Danio rerio: one gene and its partners. The protein of the gene in region 3 interacts with the protein of the main gene of each other region in a pairwise test. Links are inferred from orthologs where the notes say so. Each region holds a gene or a part of one and is shown on either strand. Other genes may lie near its edges.

The links.
Region 1: the proteins of atosb (region 3) and kif20a interact in binary tests that used the Homo sapiens proteins (3 or more experiments, as listed by UniProt). The two-hybrid records come from large-scale screens. The link is inferred for Danio rerio from reciprocal best matches to the Homo sapiens genes ATOSB and KIF20A.
Region 2: the proteins of atosb (region 3) and cep70 interact in binary tests that used the Homo sapiens proteins (3 or more experiments, as listed by UniProt). The link is inferred for Danio rerio from reciprocal best matches to the Homo sapiens genes ATOSB and CEP70.

What each region holds. Positions count from the first base shown.
Region 1 is NC_133196.1:38,629,100-38,640,046, forward strand, and holds the start of kif20a (kinesin-like protein KIF20A), read right to left. Parts: upstream 6,053-10,947; 5' UTR 5,885-6,052; intron 5,545-5,884; 5' UTR 5,535-5,544; coding exon of another isoform or gene 5,361-5,534; intron 1,180-5,360; coding exon of another isoform or gene 1,057-1,179; intron 960-1,056; coding exon of another isoform or gene 840-959; 5' UTR 682-839; intron 1-681. UniProt on the Homo sapiens protein: Mitotic kinesin required for chromosome passenger complex (CPC)-mediated cytokinesis. Following phosphorylation by PLK1, involved in recruitment of PLK1 to the central spindle. Interacts with guanosine triphosphate (GTP)-bound forms of RAB6A and RAB6B.
Region 2 is NC_133197.1:12,311,000-12,322,175, forward strand, and holds the start of cep70 (centrosomal protein of 70 kDa), read right to left. Parts: upstream 7,164-11,176; 5' UTR 7,059-7,163; intron 5,770-7,058; 5' UTR 5,756-5,769; coding exon of another isoform or gene 5,747-5,755; 5' UTR 5,551-5,746; coding exon 5,482-5,550; intron 5,382-5,481; coding exon 5,282-5,381; intron 5,000-5,281; coding exon 4,876-4,999; intron 3,364-4,875; exon of another isoform or gene 3,150-3,363; coding exon 2,969-3,149; intron 1-2,968.
Region 3 is NC_133180.1:19,786,612-19,797,574, forward strand, and holds the start of atosb (atos homolog protein B), read right to left. Parts: upstream 4,926-10,963; 5' UTR 4,587-4,925; intron 1-4,586. Other genes in the region: uncharacterized protein unc13ba, read left to right, coding at 8,331-8,352. UniProt on the Homo sapiens protein: Transcription regulator that may syncronize transcriptional and translational programs.

The DNA of each region.
Region 1 (10,947 bases), on a different chromosome or scaffold from region 3:
TTTAAAGATCAAATTTAACAAGATCTATTTATAATTGCATGTAGGACTTTTATAATAACATCAATTAAACCATTTTATACATTTACAGTGAAAGTGAACTCATAATAATTGTTAAAAAGGGGACCTTTTTCAAGATTATGTATTTTATTTGTTTTTGCTTTTTTTTCTCAATGCACATGCATTCCGAGGTTTATTCATTTTTTTTTATTAAGTGTTCATTCATTTGTTTTCTTTTCTGCGTAGTCCCTTTATTAATCCTGGGTCGCCAAAGCGGTATGAACCACCAACTTATCCAGCACGTTTTTATGCAGCGGATGCCCTTCCAGCCGCAACCCATCTCCGAGAAATTATTTAGTGTTAATTTAAATTACTCACATTAGGTTGCATTTTTCATTGCTTTTATTGGTGTCAGGTCACATCTGGTAGATTAGTATAGTGTACTGAGCGAGAATGATAACAGATTTTATTCAAACAAATTGATGTAAATTTCACACTCGAGATAAAATCGATTTATCATCCAGCCCTACAGGAACCTGTACAACAAAGCCAGATTCGCTAGCTAGCCAGTTATAACTTATGTTTCAGTTTAGTTTGCACATATTTTGGATTTTACGTGAAAATAAAGGTAGCTCAGCTGCTCCATAATACCACAGTAACAAAGAGTGATTAAAATCGATCTGCTTTCATGTTAACTTAAAACTCAAGATTGGTGTCAACTAAACGAAAACTGGCAACCCACTTATATCCAGTTTCATGGTACAGGTCCCTGGAATAAACTTTAAAACTCCATGATTTTCCAAATATTCCATGAACTGTCTATATTTGTTTGTGTCCCTTACCTTTGTAAATGTAAATTTGTGCACACTTTGAGCGACCCCTCTCTCAGCACTCTTCATGTTGCGGGAGTCTTTAGGTGCTTTGAGAAGCAGATTGTCCTCAGACTGCACATTAACACAACCCTGGAGAGCACAAACAAAACAATAACCAATTCATTGTTAAGCCAGATCCTTCCGTTACCTAGAAAAATAGTTTCACATAAGTGACACATTTCTTTACCTGCTCTTCTCCCCTGTCCTTCTCTGCCTCGGTTAGAGGACGGATCCGTAGAAAAACCTTAAGTTTATCTGATCCATCATCAGTGCTGCCTCTTCTGCTGATATCGCTTTTGATCTGCACAAGCTGTTTGTCAAAAGATAAAAGATCCATTAATATTAGAGCACTCACACCGAATCCAAACAAAGCCTGAGGTGAAGGAATAGCCATTAAACGAGCTGTTTGTGTTGAACAGAACACATCACTTACTGCTGTCCTCAATGAAAAGAATTATTGAGGGAGGGATCTCCTTCTGGCAGTGTAACAATTTGAGACAAGAGTTGGCTAAACAAACAGTATTCATAACCCCGGATATGTATGGCAAGCAGATTTAGCATTAAAACATCATTTATTAAACTATTTATTGCATGGACTTTTGAAAATCTTGATTCCGATTGGCTAAAAGGAGTGCAATAACAAACATTAGTTTGAGTTTGGATGAGTCCGAAATTACCTACAACTCTAGTATGTGCTGTATTTGAATTTACTACACAATTAATTTGACCACAACCATTCAATTTTGCTTATTTATAAAATGGTCTGTTGAAAATCTTGATTCTGATTGGCTGAAAGGAGTGCAATAACAAACGTTAGTTTGTGTTTGGCTGCATTTAAAGTCACCTACTAATCGAGTATGAACTACATTTAAATTTACTACACGACTTTTAGAAAGTATGTTCTAATTCAGGGGTCACCAATCTTGTTCCTAGAGGACTGTGCCCTGCAGGGTTTATGTCCAACTTGCCTCAACACACCTGCCTGGATGTTTCAAGTATACCTAGTAAGACCATGATTAGCTTGTTCAGGTGTGTTTGATTAGGGTTGGAGCTAAAATCTGCAGGAACAAGTTTGGTGATCCCTGTTCTATATAGTATGAATAAGAATGGTATTAATGGAATTCGGTCATTCACCAATTTGTCACGATCACATGACCTACCCTTCCCTTGCATTGCTTCACTTTTATTCTTGAATTCTTTAACATGGCATAAAAGGATAGCATAGCATCCATCAAAAGTACACTTCAGAATCTCACCGGTAGCAGTAGGTCATCTGGATAATTCTCACATATTGTTTTTCTTATACTATAAATTCTAACATACTACTTGGCTCTCAGTGTTTTTAACATACTATATAGAAGGATTGCACGATGTATCGTTTCAGCATCGATATCGCAATGTGATCATTCGCAATGGTCACATAATGGGATTTGCAATGCTGTATTATAATTTATCATTTGCATATGTTTTTGAGCCCTTTGTAGCAATAATAATTACATAATTTATTGAATTAATACATTTTTATTATTAATATATTGTACCTGTATATCGTTAGATGCAGAAAACGATAAAACATTGTTTCAATTGTAACAATTTTTTTATCGTTTTTAGCTATACTTTTGATTTGTTTATTAGATTTTTGGCAGATACCCTCTTCTACATAACAATTCCAATCAATCTAAAATGCTAAATTCTTTCTAAATAGAGCTAGGAAAGTCACCTGGCAAAATTTTGTAAATCACAATATATATAACAGAATAAGCGACGCAGTGGCGCAGTAGGTAGTGCTGTCGCCTTACAGCAAGAAAGTCGCTGGTTCGAGCCTCGGCTGGGTCAGTTTGCGTTTCTGTGTGGAGTTTGCATGTTCTCCCTGCTTTCGCGTGGGTTTCCTCCGGGTGCTCCGGTTTCCCCCACAGTCTAAAGACATGCAGTGAAGGTGAATTGGGTAGGCTAAATAGTCCATAGTGTATGAGTGTGAATGCGTGTGTGTGGATGCTTTTCAGAGATGGGTTGTGGCTGGAAGGGCATCCCCTGCGTAAAAAAAGTGCTGGATAAGTTGGCGGTTTATTCCGCTGTGGCGACCCCGAATTAATAAAGGGATTCAGCCGAAAATAAAATAAATAAATAAAGCAGAATAACAAAATATCACAATGCTAGATTTTTCCAATATCATGCAGTCCTACAATATAGCATGGAAGTATGCGATTTTGGATGCAGCCTTTGTTTATTGCCACATTAGCAACTCATCGCTATCCTTAAACATTAGTTATAACTAGGCATGGGCCGGTAGAAGATTATGACGGTATGATAACCTTGGATAAAAGTATAACAGTTTCACAATAGAGTGCTCACTGCTCTAAAATATATTATTTTTAAATGTCTGAGTAAAAAAACTAAAACTTTTTCCCATTGAACACAATATGTTTTATTTTGAGAAACATTTCTAATATTTTGGAGCAGTAAACATGTCAGGCTAAATAAGTCAAATGTATCATTGACTTCTGTTGTTTTCATTAGTAAAAATAAATAAATAAAAAATGATTTCCTTAGAATTTAAAACGGCATCTTTGTATATTTTTTGTGCTGGAGATACTGTTGTTCTAAAAAAAAAAAAAAAAAAAACATACACATACCTTAGGAACCGTATTACAGAAAAATTTGGTGGTTTTGACTATTACAAACCATGGTATACCTTGAAAACGGTTATCGTCCTATGCCTAGTTATAACCATAGTAACTCAGTGACAGTTGCCAAAGCCTTTGTGTAATATCAAGGACACCAGTATGTGCTTCACCAGGGAGCCAGTGGGGATCAACAAACATTTAAATATGCTCAAATTTTGAGAAAAGGTAGCTAACATGTTACTATGAGCTCAATTACATGCAAAAAGATGATCACTTTCTTTGACCCTGCCCATGACTGCTTCAAAACGGAGACATTTAACGTGTCATAAATGATGAAAATTCTGTCAAATATTGTGCTGCCAAGAACATTACTAGTTTTAACTTGCCTTGGCAAACTTTGGCAAATGAACCTTGGAAATAGTGAGATAACCAATGGCATTCCATGCAGTAAAGGATTTTAAATGCACTTTGTGCTGGGTGTTATTTTTTTGCCTCAATGTAATGCATTTAAAGTCCTTTAACACAAGACAAGCGATTGATCCCTTACGTGTAACATTACACTTGGACAAAAAAATAGCTGCCTTGAGAGCCTAAGTCATCAACTCATTTAATGATCTTATCATAAAGGTACCATAAAGGTATCTACCAAAACTAAACTTACACTGGTTTGAAGAAACTGTGCTACTACTATTATACTAGATCTCCCAAAATTATATTTTATTAAACCTCTTTTAGGCAGCACTTTGTTTTCTATCAAATAAATAGAAAGATATATTGATTTTAATAAATTGGTATGAAATCATGAATCCCCGAATGCAAACCACATATAAATAATAAATAATTTCACAAGACAATAGTACACAGTGGTTTATGAAATTATTAAAATATTTTGAATAGGCTTTATTTTACGAGTACCTGCTCCTATAATAACTAATGATGCTAGTCTCCTATACATTTTCGTTTCATTCTAGTACTTACTTCAAGAGTAAAATAAATAATTTTATTATTATTGGCATTATTAGGCCCACACAGAGTATGCATGTGCAGAAATCTGCAGATCTATTTATTTACTTGTGTGGATATGTAAATATATATGTTCTCAGTTTTTATATTTTATAATTTCTCTCTTTTAGTGTATACACGAGATTTACTTTACCAAACATGTGGTTCTAATTAAATTTGCACTGTAAACGTTATTTAGAAGTTAATTTTTTTCATGCATTTAGTTACTATACTCTCAAAATCATTCAGAATAAAATAGCATATATTGTGCAAAGTTTTACACTAAATTAGCAAAAATGCTTGCAGATTCTGTCTGGTCATAATATGGTAAGTACTTGTTTGTAACAAATTAAAAAGTATATATTATTTAGCAAATATTCGATAAACACTAGTGATACACTAAGTGATACTCTTTTTTTTTTACTATAATACGGATGTTTAAGTCAAACAAACTCAATCATTACTGTATAGCTTACTAACATGTCAAACATTTCTTATACATAAATCCTTCAATTGGCAACTATAATAGACTGCAAGGCAAAATATAAATCTAATCACTAAACACGATTCAGTAACATTAACTGAAATCTTGTTTCCTGTAACAAAAGTTGTATCTTGTCACATCTGGAGTAAGTGCTAATACATAATACAACCAATGCCAGCAAACAAAAAAATGAAATATTAATAGCATTAAAAACGCATATTATTTAGTAACGTTAAGTTAAAAAAATTATTGTTCAAATGGCTTGCCACGTGATGTGTCATGTCATGTGATGAATTAAATCAGTCGACACCTATGCCCGACCCGTGGTTTCAAATGTGAAGACTATTTGACATAACACACGTCTTCTAATGGCTATCATACCTCTTTAGTAGGCGTTAGGGAATCTGCAGCAGGGGTAATGACTGAGATCTCTGGCAGAGGAGACACAAACCGTTGAGACCTCATAAGACCAACAACATCAGCCGCTGTGGACTCAAACACAGCCCCACACTCTTCCTCATCAGACAGAATCCCGCATGGAGACGCCAGAGCCATTATAACAGACCTAGAAATTAATATAGACAGTTCTACATTTAAAAGAAAATTACAATTATTTATAGTCTGGACCTCTGTATATGAAAATTAACGTTACTCATATCGTAAATCTATCGGTTAACGTTAACGTTAAGTGAGCCAGAAATCTGATCATCAGTTCAAACTCGCTATTTTGTTGTTTGTTAATGCAACATTATTTATAGAATTAAAATCATATAATATGCAAGAAACAGCACTTAAAGTTAGACGGAAAAGACTGATCTTTATATAGTTGTTTGCCATGGACGCTAGCAGTTAGCATGCAGTAACTGTTACACATTTGAAAAGATTGATATATCCAATATTCGTACCTTGATTTACGATGTGCTTCCGGAGGGAAAAAAATCCAAATGTGAGTTAAAAGTTGAGCAAATGACTCCGACAGCTAAACTAAATACGTGTCTAAATTATTAGAACATCTAACTTGTTCAGAGTACTGTAACTAAAGCAAACTCATCTGTCCACCTGCATAGCTCACTAACGGAAATCCAACAACAACAAATTCGAACTCAGCCGCCCGTGAGCTCCACCAATCAACGCGCACCACTATGGTTCTGCTACTTTGGATTGGTCAACGTGCTTGTCGCTTCCACGCCCTAAAGGCGTTGACAGTATGCGAATGCGTTTTTCAGTAAATTTATATTCCCAAATTATGTTTAAACCCTTTTCATATGGTTTATTACGTTACTCCTGATGCAAACAAACGGGGCAATTACAATCTACATTTTAAACTTTTTCATATCATTGAGTAATACCACTCGTTTCACATTTATGGCAAAAATCCATGAGCATTTCTCGAAATTTTTTGTATTATAGACATATGCAAAATGTATCGCATACGGACCCTGAGCATGCGTCAAATGCGCCGCCACACCGGAGCAGTGTTGCCAACTATTTTCAATGAAAAGTAGCTAAAGCCTGCCTGAAAAGTAGCTAAATGTTGCCAGATGACTTCAAGCACTAATTTGCATATCATTTATGTCATCACATAGTTTCTGACAAGCTTGAGCCCGTCATGCCTATACTCTCTCTGGTGCTGTGTATTATATTATGTTAAAAGATTAGATCCAGATGCACAATAAATAAGTTCTATTAACATATAACTTTGCGTGATGAGGTCATTGCGAAATCGCAACTCAAAACTACATCTTTATGTAGTATAAAATAATTAATGTTTTGCTCAAATTGACTGGCCATCTCAGCAAAAACATTATTTGAAATATGTTCATATAGATTTGTATGAAAAAAAAAAGTTGACTGTTTGTAAAAGTATTACAAACCCAGGTTTTACACTTTTTGGATAAGAATTTAGTATTTTTAATAACACTGATAATGAACAGTTACGTTCTTTTAAACAATCACAGCTTGTGTACTTACTCTTTTTAACTTGTGAAATTAACAAATTTGTGAAAGTGACAACAATTATAGCACTACTCAAATGTATTGCTTCCTAAATTACCAACAATTATAAATGTTAACAAATATCAATAAATGAACAGTTACGAAAAATAATCTGAGCAATTTACTCTACTAAGTGAAGCCTGCAGCCACTGCTTTTTTGAGTCACAAAGTAGCCAAATGAATGTTAAAAATTGCTAAATTTGTTAATAGGTGCTTTTTGAAAAAAAAAAATGCTATTATGAAAAGTTGCTAAATCTAAACAAAATTGCTAAGTTGGCAACACTGAAGAAGAGCACCCAGAGGAAACCCTCGCAAACATGGGGAGAACATGCAAACTCCACACAGAAATACCAACTGACCCAGCCGAGGCTTGAACCAGCAACTTTTTTTGCTATAAGGCGAACGTACCCACTGCTCCACCACGTTGCCCAATAAGCAAACAATGAAAAAGAAATATAACAATGCTTCATTTCAAAGGAGCGCTACCCTGTACTAAAACGGCAGCTTTATTGACGCCTTCCTTCAAATACACAACAACGGGGAAGGCAACATCTAATGTAAATATCTATGGTTTCGTATAAACAGCACAAATTAGTTTCTCTTTAAGCCATTGTAAATTGTAAAATAAATGTTTTCCTACAAATCAAAGAAAAATAAGAAAACACTCATCTTGTATGTCTATATTTAAAAAAATAAAACTTTTTAAGATAAAAAGTTCATTATTATTATTTTATATAATAAAGGTATTTAATAAAAAAAAAAAATTGTCCATGGAATGGCAAATCCTTTTATTGTTTAAAAAAAGTCAATACATTAAGAGTAGTCTACTCTTCAAATATTTTCTTCTGGTTTGGCTGACATATAATGAAAATTTCTGTGTTTTTTTCTGTGTTATCATCTTGAACCTGGGACCCTAAGCTGTGGAATTTTTTGGCATGTCTCTGTTATTTAACACAAGTGACTCAGCACATTAGCTTGTATGTAAGAGTTGATTAGACTATAAACAGAACCAGTATAAGACAGGCCTATATTTTGAGCAACAACACATAAATTCAAAAAGCAGATATACAATATGTCAGTTAGCAGTTTGCTAAAAAGAAATGCCTGTTATGACGTGCTGCACAAGGGCATTTAATGCTCCAAAGTTTAAGTGTTGCATACCTGTTTATTTTAAATTGTTGTTTTCGAGCAATAATTACAAATGTGACATTACAATTTGCTAAAATTTCATCTAAATGTTGACTGTTTTTGCTCTAAAACAAAGCAGAATAGCATCTCCAAGAACCCTAGCTGTGGTTCCCAACCATTTTTGAGATGCTATAATGTAATAATCTGATTTAATGATTTATGCTAAGCTAAGCTAAGCTAAAATATTTCAGATTAATGGATTCAAAAACTGTTTAACTCTAGTGGTTTCAAACTCCAGAAAAACTGTGTACTTTTACATGGTAATGGAAATTGACCTACTGTTATTAATGTGAACTACAGTATTGTGTACAAATAATGAAATACCTAATTTCAAATGGCTTTTACATTTATGCGTTTAATCTAAGACATTTCGTCATTGCTTTTCTCTGACTTTTCTTTAGAAGGTAAAAAAAAAGAAACAACAAGAAAAAAACTGGGTGCTTAATTACTAAATCTGTGTGTGCAATTTATTCAGCAGTTATTTAGTTATGTAGGCTAAAAATAAATAATGTAAACCTGGAATTCAGCGGTTCATTCCACTGTGGCGACCTCTGATGAATAAAGGGACAAAACAGAAGGAAAATAAATGAATGAATGAACTTGAAATTCACTTAATTGATAAGATTTTGTTTATTGTTTGGCATACAAGTGAATGTTAACAGAAGATACAGACAAGTCAAAACTTATTACTATCTTTACATTTTTGTTTAAAATAAGTTTTATTAAGTTGAATCAGTTCTAATTATTCTACTGTATATAACATGGACAAAGAATCTATTGGACAAAGAGACAAATGTGTGGGACATGTGCATGACTCGAGTCCCAAGTCTGATTGGTGTCTTGGGGGCTCCATAAAAGGAGAGAGTATTAGAAGTCAAACAGGCTCCTGAGAAGCAAAGAAACGCCACTGTGTCAGAGAGAACACAATCACTTTGAAAGAAAAGGAAAAGTATAAAGAAATGAGAGTTTTGGAGTTATTGCTGTGGATGTAGTCTTTAAAGTTATACTGAAGCGAGACACAACAGGTGAGTTTGCTGCACTAAACATCTAATCTCAAAAATGTTCATTGTTAGGCTTTGAAACTACAATAAGATGCACTAACTGTAACTGTAATAATATTTAGATGTTATATTTTATTTCTCTTTCCCAGATCGTTTGTCTTGGGTTGGATCAGTCTGGTGAGTGAGATATTCTGTCCTCGGCTAAACTTAGTCTCGACAATAGTCACTGTCATGGTGGTGTATAATTACAACACAGTGAGCAGATGGTGTGAGAAGTTACTATGTTTAGATTCATATAGAAAACACAGTGCTGCAATAATGTGAATATCTAAAAAAAAAAGTAAAAATCCTTACAAAAAGTAGCCATACATTTTGTTTTGATAGTAACACTTTTGGTGCATTGGCTTATATTTGTATAACCACAGTTTTACTACAATTACCATGGTTAAAATAGGATTAGATTTGCAAAACTATCGTAGCCTGACCACTTATGTTAACCACAAATTAACTAGGTTTTGCAAATCGCATATGGTTCACTTAACCATAATTTTTTACCATGGTATTTGTAGTAAAACTGTGGTTACTAAAATACCTTTGAAGTTTTTTTCTTTTTTAAAATATTGCCCAAATGAAGTTTAACAGAGCAAGGAAATTTTCACAGCATGTCTGATAATATTTTTTCTTCTGGAGAAAGTCTTATTTGTTTTATTTCCACTAGAATAAAAGCAGTTTTGAATTTTTTTAAGTTTTAATTTTTTTAATTATTAGCCCCTTTAAGCTATTTTTTTTTTCGATTTTCTACAGAACAAAACATCGTTATACAATAACTTGCCTAATTACCTTAACCTGCTTAGTTAACCTAATTACGCCTTGTCACTTTAGGCTATATAGAAGTGTTTGAAAAATATCTAGTTAAATATTATTTACTGTCATCATGGCAAAGATAAAATAAATAATTTATTAGAGAAATTAGAATTATGAAAAAAATTCTATCAGTAAAACAGAAATTGGGGAAAAATTAACAGGTGGAGGGGGGGGGGGGGGGGGTGTAATAACTCTGAAAATACAAATTAAACAGGTTATTTTTAATATTAAACAGGACCAGCTTTCTTAAACAGACCACCAACGAATAAAACCAAAACAAAGCTGGAGTGTTTAAAGCTGAGAAGCAATTGATTTGTTTTTATTGATTTATGGGCTGCATAAAATGGACTCATTTAATGGCTCCCAGTTGTTAAATGAACAATTCAAGCATCTAAATAATAATACCAATGGCAATTCTCATTAATATTTTAGTAGTTCATTAAAGCATTAAGCTCATTTAATAGCATCATAATAAAAGTATGGTTAATTTTAGTCGTTACAAGAATGTGCAGAAGAGTCTATTTACAAGCTGTAATGAAGTGTGAACTAAAATGATCCTTTAATAAATATTATGAGCGGCATGGTGGTGCAGTGGGTTGTGCTGTCGCCCTACAAAAAGAAGGTTGCTGGTTCTAGCCTCGGCTGGGTCAGTTGGAATTTCTGTGTGGAGTTTGCATGTTCTTCCCCTGTTTGAGTTCGGTTTCCTCCGGATGCACCGGTTTCCCCCACAAGTCAAAAGACATGTGGTACAGGTGAATAGGGTAGGTTAAATTGTCCATGTGTATGTGTGTGAATGAGACTGTATAGGTGTTTCCCAGTGATGGGTTGCAGCTGGAATGGCATCCGCTCCGTAAAACATATGCTGGGTAAGTTGGTGGTTCATTCCACAGTGGATTTATAATAAAAGGACTAAACCAAAA
Region 2 (11,176 bases), on a different chromosome or scaffold from region 3:
CAGAATGTGTTTTTTGTGTGTGTGTGTGTGTGTGTGTGTGTGTGTGTGTGTGTTGAGAGGTGCATCTGTTGACTGGTTTACTAATGGCCATGAGCGTTTTGTGCGCTGCTTATGCGTAGTGCGCCATTGCGAGATGTGTGCTTGCAGTTAAAAAGTCAACTCTGTTCGGAAAAAGCGGGTTATGTCAGTCGTGTCTTTTTCAAATGAAAGCAGAGGTGTGTAGTGAAGACGACTATAGAGACTTTTAAAGATGGAGGAGAGACTAGTGGTCGCTGTTTCAAGTTATCCAGGGCAGTATAATTACACAAATCGTGAATATTACTATAATATTAAATATTACCATTATAACATAATAAACAGCAACACTCGCGCGCAATATGCAGCTGTTTCAGTTGGTACCTGGTGACAAAATGCTCACAGCACTTTTTTTTTTCTTGTCAACAAAAAAGGCAGTGAGGTGTGCCTCGTGTTTTTGAAACGTAAAAAATTGTATTCAGTGTGATCAGCCACAAATGCACTGTTACATTTAAGCACGTTAATATTTAATTGACAGTTTTTCTCAGTGGCTTTGGTGCATTTCTCACAACACTATTCACATTTGCACAACAGTTTAAGCATTTCTCAAAACAACTAGTCGTTTGTGCACATCCTAGTAGCAGTTTCTCATTCCTTCCAACAAACAGCAAATGCTTTTGGACATGCATCAATTGCCTTCATACAACTCTCTGCTGTTTTATAACATTTTCATTTCTTATGTCATGTCAGTCAAAATTAACTAAACTTGTGAATGCTGAATAGTCATTCCAGATAAAACTAATAGTCCTCATTTCATTACTTGAGTCATTACATACAAAAATGTTGAACTAGTGTCAAAATCTGTCAACTGTAAATTATTTAAAAATATATTTTTTCCTGAAAATGTCTTCTAAATTGAACAATTTGATGAATGATTTACAGACCTGTGTATGTTGTAGGTTCAGTTACAATATGTACTGCAATATTGTTTACAGTTGTGCACAGCTCTACCCAAAGGGAGTTTGTTTGTTGTAAATAAGGCTGTATTTATTCTTTTGCACAATGCTGTGAACAAATTACAATTGCAAAGAGCAAATGCAGTAAAAATGTGAAACATACATATTCAGTGTCTTGTACTCAGATACCTAACTAAATGCAGTGATGTCGAACTTTACTGTAGTTTTCAAATGACTGAGCAAGTAGTATATAGTGCTGTCTTGAGCATTTTTAGGATGTGTCACCCAAATCTGACTTTTTTTGCAGTGGAGTAAACTTTCAACGATGAAAACATGACAAAGCCAATTGACTATCTTGTTCATAAACAATGTTGTCGGGACTTTTTATCTTGATGACTCTGACACTTTGATTGACATGAATACTTGCTTTTGAGGAATGAACTATGCATGTTAAGCAAGTGACGTGCTTTTGCAGGTTATCAACTAGGTTTTGCAGTTTGTACAAATTGTACTCATTTGAGAAATACATTTACTGTTGTGCAAATGTAAATAATTTTTGCACCAAAAGCACCAAAGCGACAGAAAAACTGTAATACTCACATTAAAAATGTCAGCGTGATGATTTTTTAAGGGGTCATTTTCAAAAACATTTTACTTTAATAAAAGTTGTTGAATTCAAAACTGGAAATATTCAAATTCAGTTTGTGAATTATTTATTAAATGTGTATTATTTATCACAGCTTTTGTACAAGATTTTCATTAAGTTTTTTATTCTGTTTTTGACAGCAGCATGACAATTGTGGAAATAACCACAAATCTCAAATGTAAATCAAGCACTTTAAAGACCTGTGTTGGTACTTTCCAGGCTTGAATCCATATGTCTGAATTCAAATACTTTCAAGAAGCGTAAGACTGGGAACCCTGTGTTTAACTCCTAAAATAATCCATATTTTAACTAATTATATCAGTCAATGAGCCAATCACCCATTCATGAAAACAGTTTGATTGATTTCCAAATGAATCAGCAGTTTTAAATGAATTGATTCAGTCATTAAAATTGAAACCTGCTGCCACCTACTTGTGGTTTTAGTGCTATAGATTTGAGGTCTGCATACAGCCGCGGGACCCGACCAGATTTCTTGTGGCGCGGGAATAAATTTCCAAATAAAGCGAGGGAGCGGTCGGTAACAGGTGTAACTTTGGACGGGAGCGAGCGGTCTAATAATATCGCTTCCGACTCCCGAGCAAGCCAGCACGTATATGTATATGTGTGAATGAGACAGCGTGATGCTGTGTTTAGCTTGATTGTTGCTGTCTATGTGTGTGCGAATGAGAGAGAGCTTTGTGCTGTCTGTGTGTGTGTGTGTGTGTGTGAATGAGAGAGGGCGTAATGCTGTCTGTGTGTGTCACTTGCTTGGTGCTTATGTGTGTGTGTGTGTGTGTGTTTGTACAGACATGCGTGGCGGGTAGAAAACGCGGTGGGTCGGGCAGCGGGACAACAAATGCTGAATATAAGCGGGAGCGGTCGGGTTCGAGCTAAAACCTGACAGGAGCGGGATTCAAAACTTAGTCCCGCGAAGATCTCCACTACAGATTTTATCCATGACAGAACAAAATCATCCAAGAGCAGTACAAAAACCCACTTAGGAAATATTGTTTAATTATTACTATTGTAAAAAAAAAAGTCAAGATATGATTTTGGGAGATTTTTTTGATGTGGTACATCCTATTTTTAAAACTCTTACGTGGAATAGTGAGGAGGTGATTATTTTCCTTTTCTCTATGCAATGACATGAGCCAATCATTACAGTGGATGTTTATTTACAAGACTATTTACAAGTCATGCCATTTAACTTTGAGCTTTTTGTTTTAAGAATGAGACCAAAAATGATCAAAATAATAACAAATAAAATATATAAAAAAGCCTCATTATCCTCATTTTTAGTGACACAAGCCATGTCTACAAGCTCGACACATCAGATTGAATGCAGATATACCTCAGCATCTCTCTTCTCCTGCTGCAGCTGCTGGAACTGTTGGTGCTGTTGGGCCGCTTTACTAATATACGAGTCCTCCAGGTCTTGAACTTTGACCTTGACCCCGTCCAGGATGTTCTCCAGTTCAGCGGCCCTCTGAGACTGACGGGCGGCTCGCGTCTGATGCTGCTGCACTTCCTCTCTGGAAATAAACAAACATACATTTTAGAGTACTGTTTTTTGCACTTGTCTTTCTGCTGTGTTGTGGAATGAGCAGGAGCTGGTCTGTGCTGTCAGATGATCTCATATCCCTCCACTCATCCTGCATTATATCACCTTACAGCAGGTGGTCGGCACTACTGACACTTGCATTATTGAGCATGTGTTTGACAGGAGCAGCGTGTCCAGGAGTGTCCCTAGAGGAATGACAAGTGCTGAACAACTCAAATATTCAAGAGCCATTTGATTATTTATGATGAAATTCCAACAAACATAAAACATGCATAAGTAACACTCAGCCTACAGGTCACAATGCAGAGAAAGACATTAAATTTGGGAGAATGTGTTATTTGGTTTTATTGATACAGACAATAATAATGAGAAAGCCATCTATTTGATCAATCTTTTACTTTTACTTGCTACATATTACATCCATAAATGCAAACTCTCCAATAATAAACCGCTTTTAAAGGTATGAATTATTTACACTTATTTATCTATATACACACACGCATATGGATGAATGGAAGGATAGATATCTTATGTTTTTTGTTATATTTTAGTATTATTTCTTTAATATTGTACTTTTTATTTATTTTTTCTTTACTGCTTTATCCTCCTGGCTTCCACTATGTTTGTTCTATATTTCACAATGTCTCACTATAATGTAACTATATGTATTAAATTATAGTACTATAAGTAGAATTATATATGTCCATACATTGTTTAATAAAAAATATATAATAAAATAAGGTAAGACAATAAACATTTGAATTATGATGGTTCTCACACCATTAAGTTTTTTTTTTAATAAGTAATCTGAAATTTTTGAGCTAAAATAAACATTTCAAGGTGACAATTAAAGCCAACTTTCATCCAAAAATGTCATTATTACAATTTAATAATAAATGTTTTTAGAACATTATCCATTTTTATATTAACACTAAAATAAAATTATAAACAATTTTTAGCATTTGTTTTTGCATTTTTTTCATAATAGTAACAATGCATCATGTTTCCAAATATATGTCTTTGCTAAATAAAACATAGTAATACACATACAATCATAGTGTACAAAATAATTTAACTTTTTAGATTTCAAATGTTAAAATATTTAACCCTAATGGATAAAAACTTTATTGTTTTTCATTAATCATTAAGTCAACTTTTACATTTACAAAAATTACATTATGTAATTATGCATCAACTATTTTTTAATTTATTGTTTGTGTGTACACAAACACACACACACACACACACACACACACACACACACACACACACACACACACACACACACACACCTTCATTTAGACAATAACGAAAATATAATTGTCAGATTTATTGACAATTATATTTATCAATACAATAAAAACAGTAATATTATAACAAAATAATGTGACTTTCACTTTTGTATTACAGTAATATAGTAACAAGAACTAAAGGAAATATTGATTTGTCATAATCTAAAATGTTATAAATCATTCTGTAAAACATTCTATTTTGGTGACAAAAATAAGATATTTGTATACAAGTAGTAAATACACACACACACACATATACTGATATTTGAATTTTTTTTTCTTAAAAAAACTATATTTATTACAAATAATTATAAAATTATTTCGAATTTATTTAACTTTTAAAACATATTTGGCCTCTAAGCAACACTAAAGGCATGTTACACTAATAATGAAAGCTAGACTCACTTTAACTGGCTGTTGGACTGAATGAGCTCTTGAATTAAACCTTGTCTCCTTTCAGAATCCGATAGCATCGTCTTCAACATCAAGCGGACATCAGAGGCAGACTTTCGCTCCAACAAAACCAACTCTACAAACACAAAACAAGTATCACCATTAGTTCTTTTTTTCAGTTATTGTCAATGACTAATATCTAAACTACTATAATTCTTATTGTATACTTGAAAGATATAATATTTGCGAACAGTTAAAAAAATAAAATAAATATAAAAAATAAACGCAAAAATTAGGACTAAAATCATATTAGAAATGTGTTAATAAATTTAATCCCATAATTTAACTTCAAACTTTAATAATCCAATAATTACATTTTTTTCATAGTTGCAGCAACAAATTATTAAAATGAGATAACCTGCAAGGTTCTTGTTTTCCTTTGGATCTGCAAAGCTGACAGGTTTAAACCCGTGATGCTGCAGCAACCTGTTTACAGCGTCCCATTCTCTCTGTTCTTCCTGCAAAAGCATGACATATGCAGCGTGCATTAACAACAATAATAAACTAATGCATGGAGAAACAACTGTAAAACTATCAGAATCTCCACTTTTGTGCTACCTGAAACTGGCTGTAGGTCCACAAAAACACATATGTTTTGTCCCTGGATTGCAAAGCTTGTCTATCCATGCTCGTCAGTGAAAATCACAAATGAATGATGAGCTATTGCACTATTTTAAGCATCTACTTGTATCTTCTACTTTTTGTCTGACTTGATCAGGGTCTGTCCACCCACAGCAGATGGAGGGAACAGACCCAGATCAGATTACTATCCCAAAGAACAATAAGAAACACCTCCACACGCTGGAAAGACAAAAGGGCTCACCTGCTCCATCCCGATCAGAAGCCCTGTAAGAGAAAACACATAGATGCTGAGTTTGCACTTTATTGAAATTGCACTTTACCATTTTAAAAGGACACTATATACTGTATAAATCCAATTTAACAATGTTTATATACTGTCCAACCTATATCATAACTGTCCTAATTTAAACTGTAATGTAGTAATATATTATAACTGAAACAATAATTATTGTGAAAAGCGATACACAGATAAACTTGAATTGAACCGAATTAATGTTTTTTTTTTTTTTTTTTTTTTTCCACTTTCGCCAATTGGTGCAGTTTTTTTTCCTCGCCGCTGACGCCACTAGCTTGCATGGTTTGGGATCTGTAGACCTGCGCATCGATGGATTGCTCTTCAGTGTTTGGACTAAGTAGTGATTATTAAAACACTGATCTGAGCTAAACTGAACTGAACTTAAACTTTGAAAACTGAAATACACCATTTCAATTTGCTATGATCTTTTATGTGAAGCTGTTTTGACACAATCCACATTGTAAAAGTGCTATTCAAATAAAGGTCACTTGAATTGAACTTAATAAAATGACATGTCATTGGCAGATTTTTATTTTTAAATGGAGATTTTTGTAAAACAGAAATAAAAAATGCATTTGAAGTGAACTGAAATTTGCTAGCAAGAATACTTTAGTTAGGTAGCATACTATTTATGTAATGTTTGTGACTTCCGAGCAAGGTATTGCGTGCTTATACCATCAAATACCTTTTTTGGTAGGAGTTTTGTATGTTGTTTAAGATTTTACAATAAGAAAAACTATGTGAATATATCTACTTTGACGATTCATCTGTAATTGAATGTAACACTTGCTATTTTGTGAGGTTTACGTGCATTTTCTGAATGAAAACATAAAACAGGGCAACGTTGTAAAACATACGTACACAATCTTTGTTTACTGTATAACTCTATAGATCTACGTCGACGTTTCATGTTTAATATAACTTGCTATTTTGCGAGATTTACACGCATTTTCTGAGTGAAAACATGGGCTAAGTTGTAAAACGTGTACACAATCTTTGGCTTATAACTCGATCTATAACTCACAATACTACCATGTTCACCAAGATAAAAACCCTAGTATAACATTCTTAGAAGTTAATATAATTTTAGGGGCCACAAAGTTAGCGAAACATTAATAAAAGGGGCTAAAACGTGACAGCACACGGTAGATACAACATACAAACACTGAAAACGCTACATGAAAAATAAGGTCTACAAACGCGGCTAATACATTTCGTTTACGTTAAGTGTTTTGAGCAGTATTATTCTAAATCATACCTTAAACCACAGACGAGCTAAATTGTAGCAATTAAATCTTCAATTTATCGTTTTATAAACAAGAAAACTCGAGTGTGTTTATTGATTCAAATAACAGCGGAAACTGACACCGACGAAGTGCTTCCTGGATTTAGACCAATGGGAGAACTGAATGAGCTAGCCACGCCTACAACGTAGTTTGCGCCACTGTACTGACGTTTCCCTCTTAAGAAAAAGTGGTGTTACAACAAATGTCCACCAGATGGATGCAAAGAATTAACTTTTGAATATGGGCTCCCTACCAGACTCTTATTATGTAAATACATTGTAAAATATTTATTATGAACAGTTGGCATTTTTAGTGCAACTAAATGTAATTACATATTAAAATGTACATAACTGGCAAACAAGACTTCAGCAGATATGTTCCACAATCTTTCAAAACATCCTTTCAGGTTAGTCATTTTGAACAGACAGCATTTACTAAGCCTCTAATCTCACTTCACAGATACTGCTCTTCAAAATTTACGGATTCTGTGGCATTTTGTGTTGCTCTTTTTGCTGCATGCTGTGTAAAGGGCAGCTCTCCGTATGAAGGTCAGCATGCAAATCTCAGCACCGTCTGCAAATAGAGAAAGAGAGAGAGAGACAGAACTTTTGGGAATCTTTTTGTTTAAACAGTTTGTGTCTGTAAAGCCAGTTTTCCTCACCCAGGTTTCCAGAAGCTGTATATGAGCAAATGGTGAGAAAACATCAACAGAACTTCCAAGCAGGTTTTATCACCAATATAGGTAAATATATAATTACTATTATATTATATAGGAAAATTACTGGACCAATGTTTCAATATGTTGCGTGTCAGTCTTGAAAATAAAAATAGGTGCTGGAAAAAGTGCTTAAAAGTCCTTGATTTTCATTAAGCGCCTGTATGAACCCTGTCATATGTACTTGCAACATATATTTCATAAGTGTATGAATGTGACAATGACATATAGCCTATATTTATGAGGTCCAAGCAACAATTTCCATGTTTTGATGAATAGGCTACTATGTTAATACTTTAGATTTAAGTAAAACTTTTTTTTTTTTTTTTTTTTTTAACCTGCAAGCACAGTTAATGTTCACACTATTTATAATGTTTAAATTGGCTGACAATTATACATATTCATAATAATAGGAAATAATCTGCCTCGTTTTTTAACTGTGCACAGCTGTAGCTGCTTAATTAGGCCCACAACACAACTATATTTTAATACTGGTCATTATGTTGGTACTTGGAGAGGAAAAACATTTATGAGGTGGTACTTGGTGAAAAAAGTTTGGGAACCACTGCTATAGATGAATTACCATGTTTGTAAACATTCAGGATGCACGCGCAGGAGGTTGCAGAAAATAAAAAATCCACAGCGTTAACATTTAAATCAAACAGAGTTTGTTGTTGTATTAGAGATATATATATAATATATAATGTTGTTGTATTAGAGATACATATAATATATATGTCTTAGATATATATATATATATATATATATATATAATAGAAATTACAGTATTAAAACAGCTTGTCACCCAGTAATAAGCGCAGTTATTAAGCAAAATTAACGTTAAATTGAGCAGCGTTCTTCTGACAGCTCTATTTGCGATAGCACCCTCCCAATGGATATTGGATAAGACGAAATGGCCAAGCATCCAGCCCCAAATATACAATCTCATTGAAACTCAAATAGATTTTACAAAAGAGAAGTTAAAGGTCTACAAGTCTTTGGATGCCAACAATTCTGTTCTGTGTGGTCATATGCAAGAAATAATGCTCCACGATGACCAGATTCAATACTATGTAGAGCTAAAAACCGAAGTTCTGCCTAGCCAACGACAAGGAAAGAAGACGAAACTGTGCTAGGCCTGGGTAATCATCAAAAAGTAAAACAACTGCATTCTGACGGCGAACAGTATCTGTAAGGCAGGGTATGTGAACTTACATTCTTACATTTCATTCTTAGCATTCAGTGTCAGCAGTTTAATTCACCATATGTAACTGTTTTTCCTGAAATCATTTCCGCAATCAAAAACGAGTAATGTGTATGATTCAGCATAGCGTGAACTTACCTGATATGAAATGGGAACTGCAGAGTCCAGCATTTTTAATTAGGTCCTCACTTCATTCAACTCCCTTTAAGCCAAAAACATCTGCGGTTGGCATTAAAGCAGTGTGGTGTATGGTAAAAGCTAAGTTTTTTTATTTTTCGAATTTGGCATCCTACCGCACAACACGACATGTTTGCTTTTGCAACCGGGAACCCATGTGACGTCTTTCGTGACGTAGGTTGGTAGGCGAAAATGAACTTTTCTGAGGTAATGAAATAGGCTGTGTCTTGTATAATGTCAAAATTACCTTGGTAACTAAAATATAGTCAAAAGCCTCAGTTAGCCTTAACGTTACCACCTTTAAAAAATGTGACATGACCTGATAATTTGCTTGTTCCAGACTGCTGTCTAATAAGAAGTCTAGACATGTCACAAGGAGCTGGATGCTTGTAGAAGTTGTGAAATATATTAAAGATACACCTAACTGTTCAGTTCTGGTATGCAGAGAAGGGTTGCAGAAAAGAGGAAGTATGTCTGGGTGCAACACTCAAAGAACTGCATAATGACTGATAAGTGAGGTTACAGCAAAACTCCAACTGTTAATATCAGTTGTGCAGTGGTGGGAGTAACGAATTACAACTACTCACGTTACTGTAATTAAGTACATTTTTGGGGTAATTGTACTTTCATGAGTAAAATTTTAAGCCTGTAATTTTACTTGTACTTGAGTACAAATTAAGCTGAGTAATCTACTTCGTTACTTTCAAAATCACAATTCGTTACAGAGTACTGTAAATAAATTAATATTTCAACCACGCACTTACTAGCATTTCGGTAGCCAATAAAAAAAGCTCATCTTAACGGACCAATGAAAAGCCTGGTACATTATTTGAACCGAAAAACAAGTTCAGGCTACTGCAGATTTACGTGAGCTGACCGTCATCAAACAGTCATAAAGTTATCGATTGTCATATGGAGATTTAAGACAGAAGAAATGAGGAAGAAATAGCAGAGGATGAATGCCCATGGCCACACCCGGAGGAGCTGTTCACCTAGAGGTACATGGGGAAGAAAGGGGACAGCTGTGCTGATGCAGAGTGGATAGCTGTTATCATCTAAATATGCTAATTAAATGTATGCCCAAAACTAGAATATCGCATAAAAGACTGCAAATAAAGCAGCGTTTCTGTCCAACAAGTCGAAGAGAACAAAATCGCCACTTTCTGATTAACTGGCGACAAATATCAAAAGTAAAAACTTTGCATCGGTAGGAGCAGCTGCGGGAATATATCTTAATTTAATAAATGACTTGCGCCTCAGAAGGCAATCCTGACCCGCAGTGAACGCGCGCTGGTGTTTGAAGGAGCGAGACACGGAGTGCAGACACTCTTGACAATTCTGGAGGTCATTAATAACATAATACTGAAATGGTTGAGACGGTTTTGAATGACCAAAACAACATGTTTTACAATGTGCTTAGCCTGATGGTTTGTCCATTCACACACATTTTCAAAAAATGTGCGCATTACAGCGTTTCCATCAACCTTTTGTATGTGCATATCCAAAATGCGCATAAAATAATTGGATGAAACCTGCCCTCTGCTGTGCCATCTGGCTTACACAGGGTTCCCGGGGGGGTCTTAAAAGGTCTAAAATATAAACATCTTAATTGTAGGCCTTAAAAAGTTTTAAATTTGCTGTTCTATGTCTTAAATATGTTTGCACAGGTCTTATTTTTCCGATGTACATGTAACGCTACTCCTAATGCTCATTTAAATAATTTTTTGTTGTTGCTTGGTTTCGTAGCGGTGTAGTTCTTTATTTCACTAGTCATATTGTAATTTGCTGTATTACAACTATAAATAAGACCAGCATGTAATAGCTCAGCGCGCGCGGCGAATGTGACGTCATCGCCGTGTTTGCAGAGATTCACTTTGGATGCACACGACATGATTTCGGGTGAACAGTTCGCGCGGCGCCGCGTTTGATTTGAGTTGAATATGAAACAATGAAGAGATTTTGTCTGTAACAGTACGACTGTACATACATCTTAA
Region 3 (10,963 bases):
CGGTTTCTAACATTTGTCCAAATATCTTCTTTTGTGTTTAACAGAAGAAAGAAACTCATTAAGGTTTTAAAAACACTTGAGGGCGAGTAAATTGAGAGTACATTTTTTGTTTTTGGGTGAACTATCCCTTTAATACTTCAGTTTAGTTAAATCTAGTTTGTTAATAAAAAAACAAAACAAATGTACAGCTATGTATTATATACATTTCATTTAGTAATACACCAGAGCTTCATCCATTGGCTACCATGTTAACTCTTCTGGTTTAAGAGGCAAGCTGTATTTAAATAAATGATAAACAGCTTAGGCAGGTTAGGAGCTGGTTTGCTTCAATCACATGTGTGCACACTCACTCATGTACAAACACATGCCTGCACAAGCACACACTATTACCTCTGATAATGATCTGGGACAGGTTTCTATTATTGAAATCCTTATCTAAACCTCTAATTGATCTTAGAGAAAGGTCCAGGCAGGCGACCGGTGGAGTGGGTTTTAGTAGAATGGATAACAATCCATGGAATCTTCATGGTTATTTAAAGACGTCAAGGTGCACAGCATTTCTGCAGAGGTGAAAGCAAACCAAATGTGCACACAGAGATACAAATAGAGAGAATAAAGTACTACTGACTAAGGTTATACAAATTGTCAGGTTTACTAAAGGTGTTCTGGGGGGTTTTAGTGCAATGCTGTTCAGAATCTGAGTAGGACTCCTTTTCAGCCCTGGAGTTTCAAGCCTTAGATCGGCCCACTTCAGTTCACGGCTGACTATATTTAAAAAAAATGTCATTTTCAATTCTGTACTTCACAGTAAACATTTATTTGAACATTTAACACAATGTAATGTTTAACAGTATCAGAATCTATTTTCTGTAAGACTTAGTGCTCATTAATATCCTTGTAATGAAAAAATATAAAATAAATACAAATATGAATTAAACTACATGTATAAAATAAAGATTAAAACCAAATGTATTGAATTTTCTATTGATACTATCATGTCTTTTTTAAGGAAACAGCTGCTTTATAACTTCAAATATTTGTCATAAATATGAGAAAATTAAAGGGTAGGTAAATCTCCAACACTATTCTTTAAAACATCACTATGCCCTTTTCTGCAATATCTGAATATATGTTGTAGGAGCCTATTTGTTTGCATTTAATAACTAATGTTATATAATGCATTTCAGTTTTGAATATTTTTTTTGAACTGTTTGCATTTGAGAACTTAGAATATTTGTGTTATTCAGATGGATTTTCTGTGCATTTAGCATTGAGGATATGTAGCATGTTAAAATTGTGTACAGGCTCTTTAAGAACTGCATCTGTTTATTTTAATTTGTTTATGTATCTCTGAGTGAAGATTAAAAGTCAACATCTGACAAGAAACGGACATCATAGATTTCTTTATTGGACATCATTAGCTTGCAGGCTGCATTCTGCTCATGGGGCTGCGAGAAAATAAATAAAAAGAGGTGAGCTGCGGTAAAATAATGATTAAAAAGATTGAGGCTATGGTCAAAAAAATAAATAAATGAAAAAAGTATGACTGTTCAGAGTGCAGGCAACAGGAGACACTGGCCCTAGTGGCCAAAAAAATGGACCGGCCCACCGGGAATACTCCTGGTCCTCCCGATTAGCCAATGCGGGCCTGATGTTGTTCAATTAGTATGATTTGCATACCTTTATAACATTTAAATAACTTTTTTTTTTTTTAAGTTCTAGATTTTTATTTCATTAATCATTTTTAAATTTATATATATAGCTTTCTCTGTTTAAGCTTAAATGTCAATGTTATGATTTCAGCTTCTTGCCAAGGCAACACGTCAACACTTGGTTTAAGTGGTAGAAGTTATCTAATGTTTGCATTTTATTTCAACTACTTGTTTTGTTTTTAATTTTTAGTTAATAAGCAACACGGTGGCGCAGTGGGTAGAGCCGTCGCCTCACAGCAAGAAGGTCGCTGGTTCGATCCCCGGCTAGGTCAGTTAGCATTCCTATGTTCACGTTCTCCCCATGTTCATGCGGGTTTCCTCCGGGTGCTCCGGTTTCCCTCACAGTCCACAGACATGTGCTGTAGGTGAATTGGGTAAGCTAAATTGTCTGTAGTGTATGTGTGTATGTCTTAGTCCTGGGTTGAGCATTGGGCTAACATCCCACCTCATTATTAAAAAAAAAAAAAAAAAAAAAAAAAAAAAAAAAAAACAGATGTTACGAAACACCAAATATGGTGCAGCTAAATATGAACTTTGCTATAAATGGCCTTGGAAGCAAGTACATATTTTAAGTTACCAATAAAAACAATGTTGTTATGTGGTTGCTAGGTAGTTTCTAATCTTTATCTCAGTCGTCATACCCACAAACGTTTCAGTGGTTTCAAATTTGTGATCTGATTGGTTGAATAGTTGCATGTGTGTGTTGTCTTTAATGGTAACCCTGGAAACAAAACCACTTTGTCAACAACTTTAAAAAGGCAATCTTATCAGGACTATTACATCCTCAAAGTGTGTGATGTTCACATTATAGACTCATTTAAAGCATTTAGCCACTTCTAAACACAGTTGACTTGCTAAAGAAATTCAACTGTGATTATTCTGATTAATAAAAGCAATGCTTGCCTATATCAAATATATTTTAACTTTTTAACAGGAACAAAGATCTGATTCAAAACAGCCCCAAAAATACAAATAAAATCTCAAGAAACCCTAGCCCAACAGCACTAAAAAAAACGATGTTTGCGGCTTTTTCAAACTGCTTATTTAAAATGAGCCGAATCAACACAATTCTTAAAGGTTTTTAGGGACAACTTAATTGTTATATGTTCAATGCACTTAAAATTGTACAAATAATTAAGATAACCTAATCGATTTGTGTTGTCCTTTAATCTGAGGTTTATAGAGTTCAGATTAATAAGGTAGCCGAAATACACGTGATTGATTGGTGAGGTTGCTGAGGTGATTTAAAAATGACAGATTCATCTCTGATCTTAAACATGGTGAAATGAGACAGATCTATCAATAAATGGTGAAACGAGAGTGATCTAAAGGGGAGAACAAAGATCCGATTCAAAAAGCCCCCCAAATACAAATAAAAACTCAAGAAACACTAGCCCAACAGCATTTAAAACATTACGCTTGCTGCTTTCAAACCACTAATTTAAAATGAGTTGATTTAACACAATTCTTAAAGTTTTTTTGGGGCAGCGTAATTGTTTTATGTTCGTTCCACTTAAATTTGTACAAATAATTAAGTTAACCTAATCGATTTGTGTCGGGGCAACATGAAGGTATTGTGTGGAACCCAGCATTTTTTACAGCGAGTGCTGATATAAACTGTTACCTCCCTCATTCTCATCAAGATAAAAGCAGCCCGTCGCATTTCGCAATGTTGAACTGAAACCCCTCATTCAACATTTACACATATCGCTTGCAGAAAGGGAGTTACTTTAGGCCTTAACGCTGCATACTAAGCCTCCTCACACCCAATAACCATCTAACATGCATTTGCTTCCTGCACCAGCTTGACATGCTCATCTTCGGATATGCTGCAACATTTCCTCCTCTAACCCAGTGATGTAATACATACTTCTGCTGAAGGCCACACAGAAGGAGGTCGCGCACATCAAGGGCATTAAAGACCTCTTAATATTCAGAATTCAAACTGAAAGGGCACATTCTACCTGCAGCTCTTTTGGGACATTTGAGCCTGAAAGATCTCACTATGGGTCACTGCTGATCTGCTCTTTTTTTTTTTTTTTGTGGACAATGGTTATGGCTCTGCAGAGCTCCATTGTGCTTTCCATTGACGTCCTGTCTGGCATCAGTAATGAGCAGGATGGATGCCTCTTACATATTCTGCAACCTGTGTGTGCAAACCCACCCACCCACTGTAAAAACTCCATAGCCTGCTTGTCTCTCCATAAAATGCTGGCATTACTGATGCTAATTAGGCTACAAGGACAGCAGGATTTGCCTGCAATGTTTAGATGAAGCACAAGGCAACATTTTAAAATAAACTACACCACCAAGCCATGCAGGAATGATTCATAACGGCCCATGGCCAGGGATGTAACGTAATCATGCACATCTCAAGCACAAAGAATGTAATAAATCAAAAAGGAACAAAAGAACCCAAAGTAAAAGACATAGCAAGCACTGAAGTGAGAAATGCATGCTTATGCACTGATGAAAGTTGCCTTCAGTGGATGAAATAGCATGAATCAGACAAAGCAGAAACGCCCCCCTGCGCATGAACATACAGCAGCCTGTATGCATTGTGTGTGCAGACTGTGATTAATCTGCCATTATCAAACACACGTGAGAGCATTTCAAGTACAATAGATGGAAAAGACCCAGGGATCCTTTTGATCAGACTAGGGATCATCTCATCCTTTAATCTGAGGTTTATATTAGAGTTCAGATTAATAAAGCAGCATATATACACGGGATTGATTAGTGAGGTTGCTGAGGTGATTCAAATATTACGGATTCATCTCAGATCCTACGCACAAGGTGAAATGAGACTGATCTATAAATAAATGGTGAAATGAGAGTGATCTAAAGGAGAATGGCAGCACAAAGAGAACTCACCCACAGCAAACATACAACGATGACAATGACAACGGCTGCAGCAGTCAGCAAACTAACATTGCCATCATCTCTGGAGGAAGAGTTTGATCCTATTTTAGACAGGATCTGGAGATCTTCAGCGTAATCGACGTCAAACTGTCTGCGTTGAAATCCCAGTGTGACGAAGGTTTATCTGGCCGATGAGGATACAAGATCCCGCTTTCCAAATGCTGACAAAGCTATTTTGATTGGCTTTCTTCTCCTTTCCACGTCCTATAAGCACCTCTGCCAACGGGCCTTTGCTATTTTTTGCTTAGCTCTTGGTCCAAAGCCGTCGCCCATGAAATTATTCTGTCCCTTTAAAAACAATACTTCCGGGATTTGCTGAAAAATAACTAGGGGGCGGAACGTTCGAACAGCTGAAGGGCTGTCATTTAAGCGATTGGTCGCTTTCCCTATCAAGAACCAATAACAATTGCCTATTTAGGCTATATTTGAATATATTTGAATAACAGTAATATATTACGGCGAAAGAGACTCCTATTGGTTCCGTGAAACGCAACGACTTTTCAAGCCACGCCCATGTACACGTGCTATTTGTTCCTTTTACTCCGCTGGTGGAGAAACGTACAGGACAAAAATAGGGTTTATAGATCGACGGACTGGTAATATAAATATAATGTTTAGTAATACTTGATGATGTAGACCAATTTAAACAAGTAAATAATAACCCTTTTAAGGACAGTGATTACAGTCCGGAATAAATTACTATTTTAAATTTTTTTATTAGTGTTTAAATCTTAGCAAGGCATTATTTGCGCTTAAAATACAGTGAAACATGTGAAACAACACAAAAAATTATTTTGTTTTAAAATGTAACCCATTCTCGTGATGCATAACTGACCTAGTGCTATATATATATATATATATATATATATATATATATATATATATATATATATATATATATATATATATATATATATATATATATATATATATGTGTGTGTGTGTGTGTGTGTGTGTGTGTGTGTATATATGTGTATATATGTGTATATATGTATATATATATATATATATTTTAAACTTTAAGTCGCAAAAACAAACAAATTCATCATTATTTATTTATCATTATCAACTGAGCACTAACAACAAGCAGAAAATGTTAGAAGCAGTTCAGGAGCAAAGAATATAATATAATATATACAATAATATATATTATTATTATTATTATTATTATTATTATTATTATTATTATTATTATTATTATTATTTAAATCTGTGAAATATATTATAAGCCATATAAATACAATTCTTTAAATATAACTGAAAATACATATAAAGAATTTGAATCCAAATAATATTTTTATAAAAACATTTTATCCTGAATTGTGGAGGACGAAACCTGCAAAAGCAATAAATAGATAAATAAGAAAAAATATAAATAAATGAGTAAATAAATGCATAAATTCCTGCAAAAATAAAACAATAAATAAATAAATATGCAAATTAATAAATCAATAAATAAATGCATATAAAACCCACAAGTTCCTGCATAAATAAATATTATCATTATTTTGTTATTATTATTAACTGAGCACCAACAACAAGCAGCAAACCAGCATGTTAGAAGCAGGTCAGAGAATGATATAATAGAAAGTCAGATATTTACTTTTCCCCTATAATAATAATAATAATAATAATAATAATAATAATAATAATAATAATAATAATAATAATCATTATTATTATTGTTGTTGTTGTTGTTGTTGTTGTTGTTATTTAAATACGCAAATATATAAATAAATGAGTAAATAAATACATCAATTCCTGAATAAATAAATACATAAATCGTTATTAGTGCTGGCAGCAAATAAATAAATACATTTCAGGAATGTTGGGGAATAAGAAAATGCTAAACTAAAAGTTTATTTTTTTCCCCTCATTTTAAACCATTATTCACGTAGTTGCATGTTTACTTTTCTTGGGTCAACATGCTAATAAGAGGCTGTCTGTCAATCACCAGAAGCCAGTGAATAAAATCAAATGGAAAGTTTTTCTAAAAATCAACTGATGATGGCATAAAGACCACTTTCTGATAATTGACAGACAGCCTGAGTCCTAATAGTTCACCTATTTTTGCAATGCAGTTATTCTTATTTGCTTTGGAAAGATTTGTCTTTTTGTGAAAAGGTTTTGTTTGGTTTTGTTAATTACAAGACAAAGCCTTTACATAAAAAGAAAACCTATTTCCCTATTCTTCTTATCTTATTAACAAAATTTTATATGCATAAATGTAAATTTATAAACCAAAAACCTTTTTTAAATAGCATTTCTTTCTGAAATGCAGTATTACTTTGAAACTATTTCTAACTCTTTTACAAAGAAAGGCTTTAAAAACAACTGACATTTGTAAATTATATAATCTTTTTCTTTAATGTGTAATGTCTCTTCTGTTTTTTGGTTTTCTTTTTTTTTCAAATTATTTTAACTTTCTTTATAATGTACTGTGATTTGTATCTTTTCACCTTTCGCATACCACCACCACCACCACCAACAACAACAAGTAGTAGTAATAATAATAATAATAACAATAATAAGAAGAAGAAAAAGAAGAAGAAAAAAAAGAAAGACAGACTGCCTCTCATTAGCATGTTGACCTGAGGAAAAGTAAACAAGCAACTACATGAATAATGGTTTCAATGGGGAAAAAAAACAACCTTTCAGTTTAGCATTTACTTATTCCCCCATCATTCGTGTTATATATTTATTTAAGTAGGAAGTTGTGGATTTTCGATATCATTTATTCATTTCTTTGCATATTTCTTTTTTTATTTATGCAGGAATTTATAGATTTATTTACTTGTTTATTTATATATTTGCGTATTTATTTATTGTTTTATTCATGCATGAAATTATGGATTTATTTACTCATTTATTCATATTTTTGCGTATTTATTGATTCATTTATTTCTTTATTGTTTTTGCTTGTTTCGTCCTTCTAACCAGATCCTTGCACAGGTATTTAGGTGTTGCTCGGGTAAAAGCATTTATTCAAATCAAGTTAACAGAGTGCTTAGTTTCACGGCTACTTGGAAACAAATGTGAATGTAAATATTTTTAAAATGTTTATTACGAAGTAGCATGTGTTAAACGCGAGATGGCGCAATGGCACTACAGAAACATCAGACATAAATCCTTTCGTCAGTTCAACAGGCTGCACACACAGACTGAGACTGTTAAGTTTAGTATAATAAAGGTGCAGCATTTAAATCAGAAATTAAACATTACCAGTCAGCCATTTTTTTCCTTCAAAAATAGCCTAAAACACACGTTAAATATTAATATTTAATATGTTGCAAATAATTATAGGCATACATATCTACAAAAATAGCAGGATTTGTTTGTTTTAAATGAATATGATGATGCAGATGTTGTCAAATATGCAGGTTAAAGAGGGCATTACACACCTGTGCGGATAAAAAACGTTATCCGTCGCATCATCTTGTAGTCCCGCCCACTCTCTCCTTTTGATGAAGTTGATTGGCTCCTGCTTATGTCACTAACGCCATGGGGACGCAGAACACAGTTCTCCTGGCGCGTTGCGAACACAGTCGCTATTTAACTCTAGTCTATTATGATGATGAATTCAACAAACTACGATATTTGTTCGCAACTTAAAATATCCTTTCGAACGGGGAGGAAATAAAGTGCCAGAAGAGGTGATAAAGTCATAAATGTACAGTGTGGACTAAAATCTCAGCAATGTCTCTTCTTTGTGTGCGAGGTAAGTATTTGGGACCTTGAAATATTTACTTTTTATAACATTGTCTTCCCGTTTGTCTGTGTTTACGTGCTTCTGGTTTAAAATGTGCTGTAATTTTAATTGTATGAAAGCGGTTGGAGCAACAGGTAACAGTAACAGGTGTAAGCTATAATAATTACATACACCTGTTCTATACACAAGAACGGGTGTAACTTTCGATGAACACCTAAATGTATCACTGACTCGTATGTGTGTTACTGTGGATCTGAGGCGACTCATCTTCTGTTAATGCGCTTAACGGGTTTTCCCCGCTGTTAAGGCACCGCATATGCTGTGATCACCTGTCTGATTGTCCCACTGTACGCTTTGATTTTGTATGACATCAAGCATTCCCAAAGGATTATTCAGTTTCCTGCAGGATATGACATGATTGTGGGTGTTTCTACTTTAAACTGTGAGCTCTAAAATAAGATATTTGTTGCGAAAAGCTATGTCGACTGGACTGTAATTTGTAGGCTAAATGAAACTCCTAAAGTTGGCGGCTCATTCCTCTGTGGCGACCCCTAATGAATAAAGAGACTAAGCCAAAGGAAAATGAATGAATGAATAATCTCTTAATAGGGCCTGCTATTCCATATCTGTTGTTGACAGAAGATCCAGTCCATGTTCAGTCAGTCATTTTGTAAATTACAGAATTAGAGTAGAACTAACTTTTGCCATTCAGTGAAAAATAATATATACTTGTTGGTGGAAATTAGTTGGATTTTGCTTTTTAGTATCGTTTTTGTTTCCAAAAAACTTTGGAGTGGTTGCAAGATTGATATGGCACTTCCTGTTTCACACAAGTAGTAAATAGTGATGCTCCGATTGATCGGCCAGACATCGTGATCGGCCGATAATCACATTTCATGACTCGATCCGTACTTGCTAATCTGGCCAATCTTATGAACCGATCACAATTGTTTGTTTATGATTAGTTTACACATCAGAACTGATTGTTCTGTGCTTTCAACAGTATTGCAAGTTCATTAAAACCTTGCTGGAAATATAAGAGAAATATAAAAAAAAACATAAAAATGATTTTTAACTTGAATATTTAATAATATAACTTATTGTAATAAACAGTATAGAAATATTTTCTATTAGTAAAGAAGTAATGAGATGATAGATGTGCGTTTTAACTTTTTATGTATAAAATATGTGCTCCAAACTTCCATCATTTGCAATGTTTCCAAATTGCTTTGTCACTCATTTTTGATACCATTTTCTTGAATCTGTTTAATCTATTATTTTCTGTAAAGCTGCTTCTGGCCGTGACATGTCCACACTAAATAGTTATTAAGAGATTTGTTTAAGGAATTTCATGCAACATCTTTAATTTATTCTCTTAGGTAAAGTGATATCTTCACTTACTTATCATACTTTGAGGGAAAATGCACTTTATACATTATAAAGCTTGAAGCATCACAATCGGTACTTGGTATCTTCCGATCACATTGACAAGGAATTGGTACACTGTATCGGCTGCAAAAATCTTGATCAGAGCATCCCTAGTAGTAAAGTTGTTATATATTATGCTTTTTGTTTAATATTACATGTCATTGTGTACATTGTAAATTTCGAGTTTACGCAGACTTTAATGTAGCAATTTAAGGGCACCTAAAGGGCAATTCATCTGTAAAAACATTGCATTCCCTTTTATCACATTTCTCCAACACATTGTTTATGCTACTAATATTAGGCCTGTCACAATATCTATTTTTTTTTGTTGTGCGATATATTGCACCAAAATGTGCTAAACAATATTATTGTCATTTTAAGGCCATTTTATGCTCTCATTATATAATGCCAGAATGACAATATAATATCAACACAATGCAGGTACACTCTTCCAAAGAACACATCATATTTTATTCCTAAGAATATTTAATTTCATTATAATCATTTTAACAAATTAATGATTGGGCATTGAAAAGGCATATCTTAAATAAATAAATAAATAATAACTGTTAACAAAAAGTGCAAGGTAAAAAGTAACAGAGGTGGCGAAATCTGCTACAAGACCTATTTTCAGTTGTCAGGCACCCACATGAAAATATATTGTAATCTGTAGGAAATACTATAGTGTTTTTTTGACTACACTGACTCTGACACCTCCAATAGAGATAAAGATGTTCACTCACAATCAGATAAATGTTGCTAGAATTGACTTTTATGTATGGGCGATATATATTGCATCACCAAAAATGATTGAGGTCATGTCCATGTGTTGAGTTATAAGTCAATATATTGTTTATTGTGACAGGCCTAGCTAATATAGATGCTACTTTAAACTATGTGGTTTAAAATGAGATGTGTTGTATTACAAAAACTCTTGGATTGATAAAGGTACCTATTACTAGCGGCATACAGAATGTTTATGCTATTTCTGCCTAGAATTTTGTTCAAAATCTATGGATTTATGCAAAATTATTTTGACAGTATAGTAAATAAATACATAACACAAACACAAAAAAAGATGTTTACAATGCTTTTAAAAGTATACAGTGCAAATCCAACTAGAACCACTTGTAAGTCAAATAATGTTTTCTTTCTTTCAGTAGATATATTATAACTACTATAAGAAAGAAAA